Oryctolagus cuniculus: one gene and its partner. The protein of the gene in region 1 interacts with the protein of each later gene in a pairwise test. Links are inferred from orthologs where the notes say so. Each region holds a gene or a part of one and is shown in the gene's direction. Other genes may lie near its edges. The genes, in order: ALDOA and ENO3.

What was found.
Region 2: the proteins of ALDOA (region 1) and ENO3 interact in a two-hybrid assay, tested with the Homo sapiens proteins (2 studies listed by BioGRID and IntAct, with this or other methods). The link is inferred for Oryctolagus cuniculus from reciprocal best matches to the Homo sapiens genes ALDOA and ENO3.

Annotation. Positions count from the first base shown.
Region 1 is NC_091450.1:7,438,434-7,442,331, forward strand, and holds the start of ALDOA (fructose-bisphosphate aldolase A), read left to right. Parts: upstream 1-1,033; 5' UTR 1,034-1,073; exon of another isoform or gene 1,074-1,074; intron 1,075-1,088; exon of another isoform or gene 1,089-2,256; intron 2,257-2,399; exon of another isoform or gene 2,400-2,628; intron 2,629-3,213; exon of another isoform or gene 3,214-3,226; coding exon of another isoform or gene 3,227-3,373; intron 3,374-3,533; 5' UTR 3,534-3,535; coding exon of another isoform or gene 3,536-3,553; coding exon 3,554-3,665; intron 3,666-3,751; coding exon 3,752-3,898. Other genes in the region: uncharacterized protein, read left to right, coding at 86-199. UniProt on the Homo sapiens protein: Catalyzes the reversible conversion of beta-D-fructose 1,6-bisphosphate (FBP) into two triose phosphate and plays a key role in glycolysis and gluconeogenesis. In addition, may also function as scaffolding protein.
Region 2 is NC_091448.1:51,283,746-51,287,608, reverse strand, and holds the start of ENO3 (beta-enolase), read left to right. Parts: upstream 1-1,011; 5' UTR 1,012-1,055; exon of another isoform or gene 1,056-1,060; intron 1,061-1,594; 5' UTR 1,595-1,596; coding exon 1,597-1,681; intron 1,682-1,939; coding exon 1,940-2,035; intron 2,036-2,147; coding exon 2,148-2,206; exon of another isoform or gene 2,207-2,210; intron 2,211-2,333; coding exon 2,334-2,403; coding exon of another isoform or gene 2,404-2,440; intron 2,441-2,745; coding exon 2,746-2,879; intron 2,880-3,863. UniProt on the Homo sapiens protein: Glycolytic enzyme that catalyzes the conversion of 2-phosphoglycerate to phosphoenolpyruvate. Appears to have a function in striated muscle development and regeneration.

The DNA of each region.
Region 1 (3,898 bases):
AGGCCTCCCCCTCCTCCCTCCTCTCCTGGGGGGGCAGACTGAGGCGCCTGATGCACCCCCCCAAGCTCTCTCTTTTCTCCCTCAGGGTTGGGCCCCTCGCTGCCCCAGCTGCTGCCCCCTCTGCGACTGCGCCTGCGCCTGCCAGCTCCCGGACTGCCAGAGCCTCAACTGCCTCTGCTTTGAGATCAAGCTCCGATGAGGACCCCAGGGCCCTGCCCTCTGCGGGGAGCGGCCAGCCCCCAGGGCTCCGCGCGGCCCTCCTCCCCGAGGGGCCTCTGGACACCTTTCTCCAGGTCCCCCAAAACGCAAATGGCTGAGCCCAGCTCAGTGGCCTGGGACCAGGGCCCTGGGCCGGCCAGACTGCAGCTCCATTGCAGGGCCAGGAGAGGGGCTCCACTGCCTCCTCTTCCCTTCCCCAAGTACACTGGAACGTTTGAAGGTGAGGGTGGGGGGCACAGCTCACCAGATTCTGGGGGGAGCTTGGGCCTTGGGTCAGGATGTAGGGGTGCCCCAACCACACCCTGTCCACCCACTCTTGGTTATTTTAGGAGTGCAGTGCCTGCATCTGCTCTCCCTCTTAAAAAAAAAAAAAAAACAACCAGGCGGCACCATCAAGGCCCTGAGTTGGGGGAGGAGGGGGAGCAGAGGAGGAGCCAGCAGGAGGCGCGGGAGCTCGCAGGACCCGAGTCCCCTACCCCTTTGCTTCCCCCACAGATTGCAGCCCATAGACGGGTTTCTCTAGACGAAGAGGAGCCTCAGCCTGGACTCGCAAGGAGGAACCTTCCTCTAAGTGCCAGTGAGTAGGCGGGGAGCCCCTCCCCCAGGACAGACCCAAGGCTTCCTCCTCCTTCCCCCACGCTGGGCCCCAAGCTGGCGTGAATGTCAGGGGCTTCAGGTTTCCCTAAATATAGGTCCCTGCCGGGGGATCCGTGGCGGGGAAAGGGCAGGGGTCACGGGAGAAGGTCGGGGACATTAGTTCGGGGGAGGGCAGGAGCCGCCTTATAACCCAGCCCCGGTACGACTCGCTCACTCGCTGCTGACCAGGCTCTGCCGGCTCCTACAGCCTCGCCGCAGGTGGGCCGCTAGCCGGGGACGGAGCGGGCTGGGGGGCTGGGCCGAGGGGGTCCGGATGAGGAGGGGAGACCTGGCCCTGGCCGGGAGGAAGAAGCTGGGGAAATATCTGGGAAGCGAATCAGCTCGGGGACGGAGTTTACTTTGGAGAAAGGATTCGGGCCCCAGGGACTGTGGTGCTCGCATTCCCGACACTTGCTTGGGCCGGTCGGTTTCCGCGCAGCCTGGTTTAGAGTGGCCACCCCCGACTAGGCGGCGGTCGGCGGCCGCCCCAGGCGGGGAGCGCGTGCGCAGGCGCGGGCCAGGTTGGCCCTCCCCGCCCGGGAGCTAACCCCGACACCGAGGCCGGGGAGGTCTCGCTCGGGTGCGAACCCCCGCACGGAAGCCAGGAGGCCTCACCCGGCCAGGGCCAGGCACGAGTGGACAGAGGCCTCGCCTCCGAGCCCTGCCAGCCCTCCGCGCCCTCTTGCGCGCCCCGCGCATCCACCCGGCGCCCTGGCCTCCGCCTCTCTCAAGCCCGGGCCTGCGGCCTGGAGGGATGGGCCCCGCGCCCAGAGGCAGGCCCACCACGCCGACCTCTCCCTTTGCTGGCTGTGACACACGCCGCCACCGCGCGGGCCGGAAGCGGGGCTGTCCGCGGCCGCCGGCCTGGTCCGGGTCTTGCACCCGCTTTTCCCCTGCTCCCCACCCCCGATCGCCTGGGTGCCAGAATTCCGGCTGAGTCACGGCGCCCCGGAACGTGCCAGGCTGGGGGAGGGGGACACAGCGGGGGGGGGGGAGGGCCCTGGCGACCCGCGGGATGTGGCCCGAGTCACGTCCGACGGGGGCGGGGGAAGCGTCGGCTCCGGCCGCCGGGGCCCCACCCACCCACCTAAGCGCCGCCTCCCGGCCTCGCGGCTCGGAGGTGGCCTCCCACACGGTTCCTCTCCTGCAATTGGACGCCTCCTGCCCCCTCCGCAGAGGAAAAACCCGGCGGACGGTGGCGCGGTGCCTTTAAAAGGCAGGGGCCCCTCCCGGCGCCCGCCCCCTGCCCCGCCCCCTCGGGAGCTGAATAGGCCGCGTTCCTCTCGGAACGCGCCGCAGTAGCGGGTCCTGGTGACGACCGCCGCATTCGCTCCCCCGGCCCCTCGCCAGCCCGCCGCCCGCCGCCGCTGCAGCCCGCCCAGACCCACCCTCCCGGGCCAGGTGAGCGCCCCACGCCAGGGCCGGGAACCGTGGAGGGTCCCGGGACAGGGACGGGTCGGCAGGGAGCCCCCATCCGCGCCCCTCCCCGGCATCTCCCCAGTGCCAGCCCCCGACACACGCGCGCGCGCTCCCAGCCCCGACTCCCCCAGTCCTCTCCAGCTCGAGCTCCCTCGATTTGCTGCGCAACGCGGCAGCTCCGCGCGCTGAGTCATGGCGGGGGAGGAAGCAGGACGGGAAGGAGGCTCAACGCCCTCCCTGATTCTTGCAGGGACCCCGGCTGCAAAGGATTAGGGCTCCTTTGCCTCTCCGGGGGTCCCCAAAGGCAGCGAGGGGTGGAGGGCAGCTCTTACTCTCGCCTCAGGGTTCCCGCAGGTGAGGTGTTGTTTCCAGCCGAGAGGTAGGGCGCCCCAGCTAGGAGGGGAAACCCCTTAGCCCGGCTTGATGACCCATTAACACTTTGCTATCTTTCCTTATCGGGTGACCTTGATTCTGAGCCTGGAACAGCTGCCGCAGCCGAGCGAACAGACGGGAGCATTTTTCAGGGAAAGGGGTGGGGCGCTTGTCGGCTCCTCCACGCACTCTTTCCCTGTATGAGCAGTGAGAAGGGCAAACCTTACCCCTTCCCTGTACCCCGGGCTGGGCTCGCTCTGCGGCTCTTTGCTGGGCCTCCGATCACCTTCCTACCTCCCTCCCCCACCCTTTTCCTAATCCCCGCCCCCCATCCTGGGGGGAACAGCCTGACCTTGGGACGTCCTTGAAGCACTGGAGCCTGGGTCAGTCCTGGGACCTCGGGAGGATCCGAAGCAAAGCCCAGATGGCAGTCGAAGATCTGGGTTTAATCTCAGATCTGGCCCCTGGGTCGAAGCACAGAACTTTTCCCTTCTCTGAGGGGGTGGGGTCCTCTGCCCTGCCCAGGCCCTTGAAACTCTAAAATACTCTGGTTCAATTTGTTTCTAGGCAAGGTGACCCCATGGCAAAGCGCAAGCCAGATGGGTCCAGCTTCAACATGACCCGCCTGTCCCTGGCTCTGGCTTTTTCCTTTCCCCCGGGTGCCAGTGGGCAACCCCACCCTCAGCCTCAGCTGGGCAACACCCAGCAACAGACAGAGTTAGGACAGGTACAGGCGGCAGGCTGGGGACAGGAAGTACCCCAGGACCTGCCGGGTGTGGGGCAGGGGAGGTAGGGAACGTTTGCCCTGACCTCCAGGCAAGGGGGCCCCGCTCACTGGCAGCCCGTGGGAAGGCTCAGCTCACCGGTCCTGCCTGCCTGTCTTACCCAGGAACTTGCTACCAGCACCATGCCTCACTCCCATCCAGCGCTGACCCCGGAGCAGAAGAAGGAGCTGTCCGACATCGCCCACCGCATTGTGGCTCCGGGCAAGGGCATCCTGGCTGCAGATGAGTCCACCGGTGCGCTGTGGTACGGGAGGAGGGCCCAAGGCCGAGAGCGTGGTGGGCTGATGCCCTCATTGTCCCCGTGTGATGCCCTTCCCCAGGGAGCATCGCCAAGAGGCTGCAGTCCATCGGCACCGAGAACACGGAAGAGAACCGGCGTTTCTACCGCCAGCTGCTGCTGACCGCGGATGACCGCGTGAACCCCTGCATCGGGGGCGTCATCCTCTTCCACGAGACCCTCTACCAGA
Region 2 (3,863 bases), on another chromosome or scaffold:
GACCTCTGGCCCGCCGCACCCCCCACCCCGGGCTGGAAAAATCCCGGAGGGAGCGGCCAGCGATAAGGGAGGAGGGCTCGTGCTGCCGGCCGGGATGAGTCACCTGGCGCGGGCCGCGCGGCGCCGGCGGCGGGGAGCTTCGGGTCGGGGGTTGCAGCCGCCGCCCCCCGCCCCTCGCCGACCCGGAGACCCCGTTCCCTCCCGTGCTGGAACAGGCCGCCGCTCTCAGAGGGCCGCCCATCCATTCATGCGTTCGCCTGCTGACCCAACGCCATTCATTGAGGCACTGGGGCCGCGCGCCAAAGCGCCCACGGGCGGACCCGCGGCTTCCACGGGGCGACATGGGCCGGCCCGGCGCTGCTGGCCGGCGCCGCGCCAGCGCACGGGGCGCTTCTAAATTCGTCCTCGGTCCCCTCCCTCACGCCCTCGCCGGCCGGGGGAGGGCGGGAGGAGGTGGAGGCGCGAGGGGCCGCTATGAGGATCCTGAGAGGTGAGACCCTCTCGCCTTCTGGGTGGGTGGGGCTTCAGTTTTAGACCTCCCCCACCCAGGGCTGAGCCCGGCCAAACGAGCTGAGCATGTGTGGATGTCAATCCCGCAGCCCCTCTTCCAGGCCCCCTCCTCAGCCCTGCAGGGCTCAGGTTTCTCATGGCCTTTTCTAAAGGGCACTGGTTCCTCTTTAACCTTTGCAAAAGGGGAGCAGGATCCCGGAAAGGGGAAAGACCCCCCAATGTGAAGTCCCTCCCCGGCTCCTCCCAAAGGCGTGGAATTAAAAAGCAGGGAGTTTTATTGGGGGACAGAGAGAAAGGGGGTGTGTTAATCCCTGACCTTTGTGAGGGGGGCAGGTGCCCTGGGCCAAAAGGCTTCTGCTTTAGGCTATAGTGGGCACCTGGCTGCCAGCCTGGTGTGCAGGGGGGAGGATGGAGAGAGGGCGGGGCTGGCCGGGGACAGGGTGGCCCGGGGATAAATGCCCAGGCTGAGAGGGGGGTGATCTGACACTGTCCCAGCTGCCACCTAGACTCAGAGCTCCATCCAAACTCCAGCGAAGACATCCCAGGTCTGGTGAACCTTGCAGCCCCCAGCCCGAGGGTGGTGCTGGCTTGGGAGATCTCAGCATGGTTTTTTTTCCCCCTCGGGGAGCTGGCGGGGCTGGAGAGTGTGCAGGGGACAGCAGGGATGGGTAGCCAAGGGGAGTTAGGTGCAGAATCTGGAGCCCGTGGAGATGTTGGGGAGCAGGGGAATGAGAGCCAGAAAGTATCTGAGGTCTAGAGAGCGGCTGGGGCATGGGTCAGCCACCAGTGGGGAGGAAGAAGGCACAAGGGCCGCTTAGGGGAAGGCCAGGGAGCGCGGAGAGGTGCAGTGGAATCCAAGAAGTTATAAAGGAGGGGTGCCTGTTCCTTAATGGCGGGAGGGTGGAACAGGAGCTGTCCTGAGTGGGGGAGGGGGCTGCGCCAGCCTCTTTGGTCTGTGACCTTTTTGAGGGGTATTTTTAGCTCCACCACCTGCCTTCTTGGGGTGGGTTAGACTCTTAAAGGGCAAGGGATTTCTGGTTCCTCGAGGGATCAACTGTCCACGCTCGCACCTCTTGTCCTGCAGCCATGGCCATGCAGAAAATCTTCGCCCGGGAAATCCTGGACTCCAGGGGCAACCCCACGGTGGAGGTGGACCTGCACACAGCCAAGGGTAACACGGGCCCGTGAACCGGTGTGCCTCACAAGACCCCAACCGCACCTGGCCACCGCCACCCCACCCTGCTTCTGGGCCACATCCTCGCCTGTCTCTGCTCCCCCCACCCCTGCAGACTTCCTCCAGCCTGGCTTGGGGGAGCTGGGAGAGGCCCAGTCTTCTCTGCACTGTCTCCTGTCCTTGGGCACGGAGAGCGGACCGCAGCCCTTTGGGGGTGGGCGGGACTCCCGTGACCTCCTAACACCTCCTGCCCAGGCCGATTCCGAGCAGCGGTGCCCAGCGGAGCTTCCACGGGGATCTATGAAGCTCTGGAGCTGAGAGATGGAGACAAATCCCGCTACCTGGGGAAAGGTGAGGACAGAGAGGTGCAGCAGGAGGCTGTGGGCATGGGCAGAGGCCTGGCACCCAAAGCTTTGGGAGAGTCGCGGTCCTTGGACTGAGGCCTGATTGAGCTGGGTTCTAGGTGTCCTGAAGGCTGTGGAACACATCAACAAGACCCTAGGCCCTGCTCTGCTGGAAAAGGCAAGTGGAGGAGCCTGCCCCCACCACCGCACCCCCAGCGCCCCTGCTGCCTCCCCCCGGCAGCCCCTCTCCGTCTTCCCACACATGCCCTGACCTCTGCCCCACCCCTGCCAATCTGCCCTTCCAGAAACTAAGCGTCGTGGATCAAGAAAAAGTGGACAAGTTTATGATTGAGCTGGATGGGACAGAGAATAAGTGTGAGTGCAGGGCCGGAGGCTGGGAGGGGAGGCACCGGTGTGGGGGGCGGGAGCCAGACCTGGCCAGCATGACTTCTGTGTCCCACTTTTCGGGGCACACTGTAGCTGGGTGGATTTGTATTCATCCCACAGGCATTTCCTGAGGCCTGCCCTCTGCCAGGCTTGCGTGGGGCTGTGGACGCAAATGTGCAACAGACACAGTCCCCGGGGCGGGGGCCCCTGCAGCCAGGTCTCCGGGGAGAGATCTGTTAGAGCTGGGGACTCTTCCCGGGGTGGCTGGAGATCACCCCAATCCCTGCAAGAGACGTGCTCACCCTTTCTTCCCCACTTGCCTCCTTCCAGCCAAGTTTGGGGCCAATGCCATCCTGGGCGTGTCCTTGGCCGTGTGTAAGGCTGGAGCGGCAGAGAAGGGGGTCCCGCTCTACCGACACATCGCAGACCTCGCTGGGAACCATGACCTCGTGCTCCCAGTGCCTGTGAGTGCAGCTTCCCACTCCCAAGACCGAGCCCCCCCCCCCCCCCCCCAGTGAGGGGTGCTTAGGCAGCCCTTGGAAAATCCACCTTTCAGACTCAGCTCCAAAGAAGTGGTTTCCTGAAACCGAATCTCCCCACCCCTCCCTCTTTCCCACAATCCAAACCTTCCCTTCCCTTGCCATGCAACCCGGTTCCTTCACATTCCAATCCCAGCCTTGCTAACTCTGACCTCATTCCACCCCTGCACCCCATCCCCCAAGTGAGTGCGCCAGCTTCTTTGACATGGATCTTGACATTTCTCTATATCTCCTTTAAAAAGAAATCGTTTTTATTTATTTGAAAGGCAGAGTGTCAGAGAGAGAGTTTCCATCCACTTGTTCACTCCCCTAATGGCTGCAACAGCTAACGCTGGGCCAGGCTGAAACCATGAGCCAAGAACTCCATCCAGGTCTCCCACACACAGGTCAGGGGCCCAAGCACTTGGGCCATCTTCCGATGCCTTCCCAGGCCCATTAGCAGGGAACTGGATGGGAAGTGGAGCAGCCAGGACTCGAACCCACACCTTCCCGTGGGTTCCTTATTATTAAACTAATAATAAGGAGTTTAATAAGTTTAATAAGGAGTCCTTATTAAACTAATGACCTTAGTGGGGACCCCTTGAACCTGGCTTACTAGGAGGACTGTACCAGAGCATGGATGCCAGACAGACTGCCTGTTTCTTAGAGCCGTCTCAGGAAGGTTGTGTAACCTCTCTCTGTCTCAGTTTCCTTGTGGGAAAATGAGGAGTAGGAACAGTACCCGGCTGAGTGATGTTTTGAGCCGGAAATGAGCCAGTGGATGTAGAGCACTTAAAACACTGCCATAAAGTGCTGGCTGTCTCACTCACCAGGCGCATGCTAGGAGCTTCATATTCTGTTTCACTAATGCTATTATTTTACAATTTTTAAAAACATCTTTGTCACTTTTTTCCCACTAATTTTCAGCGA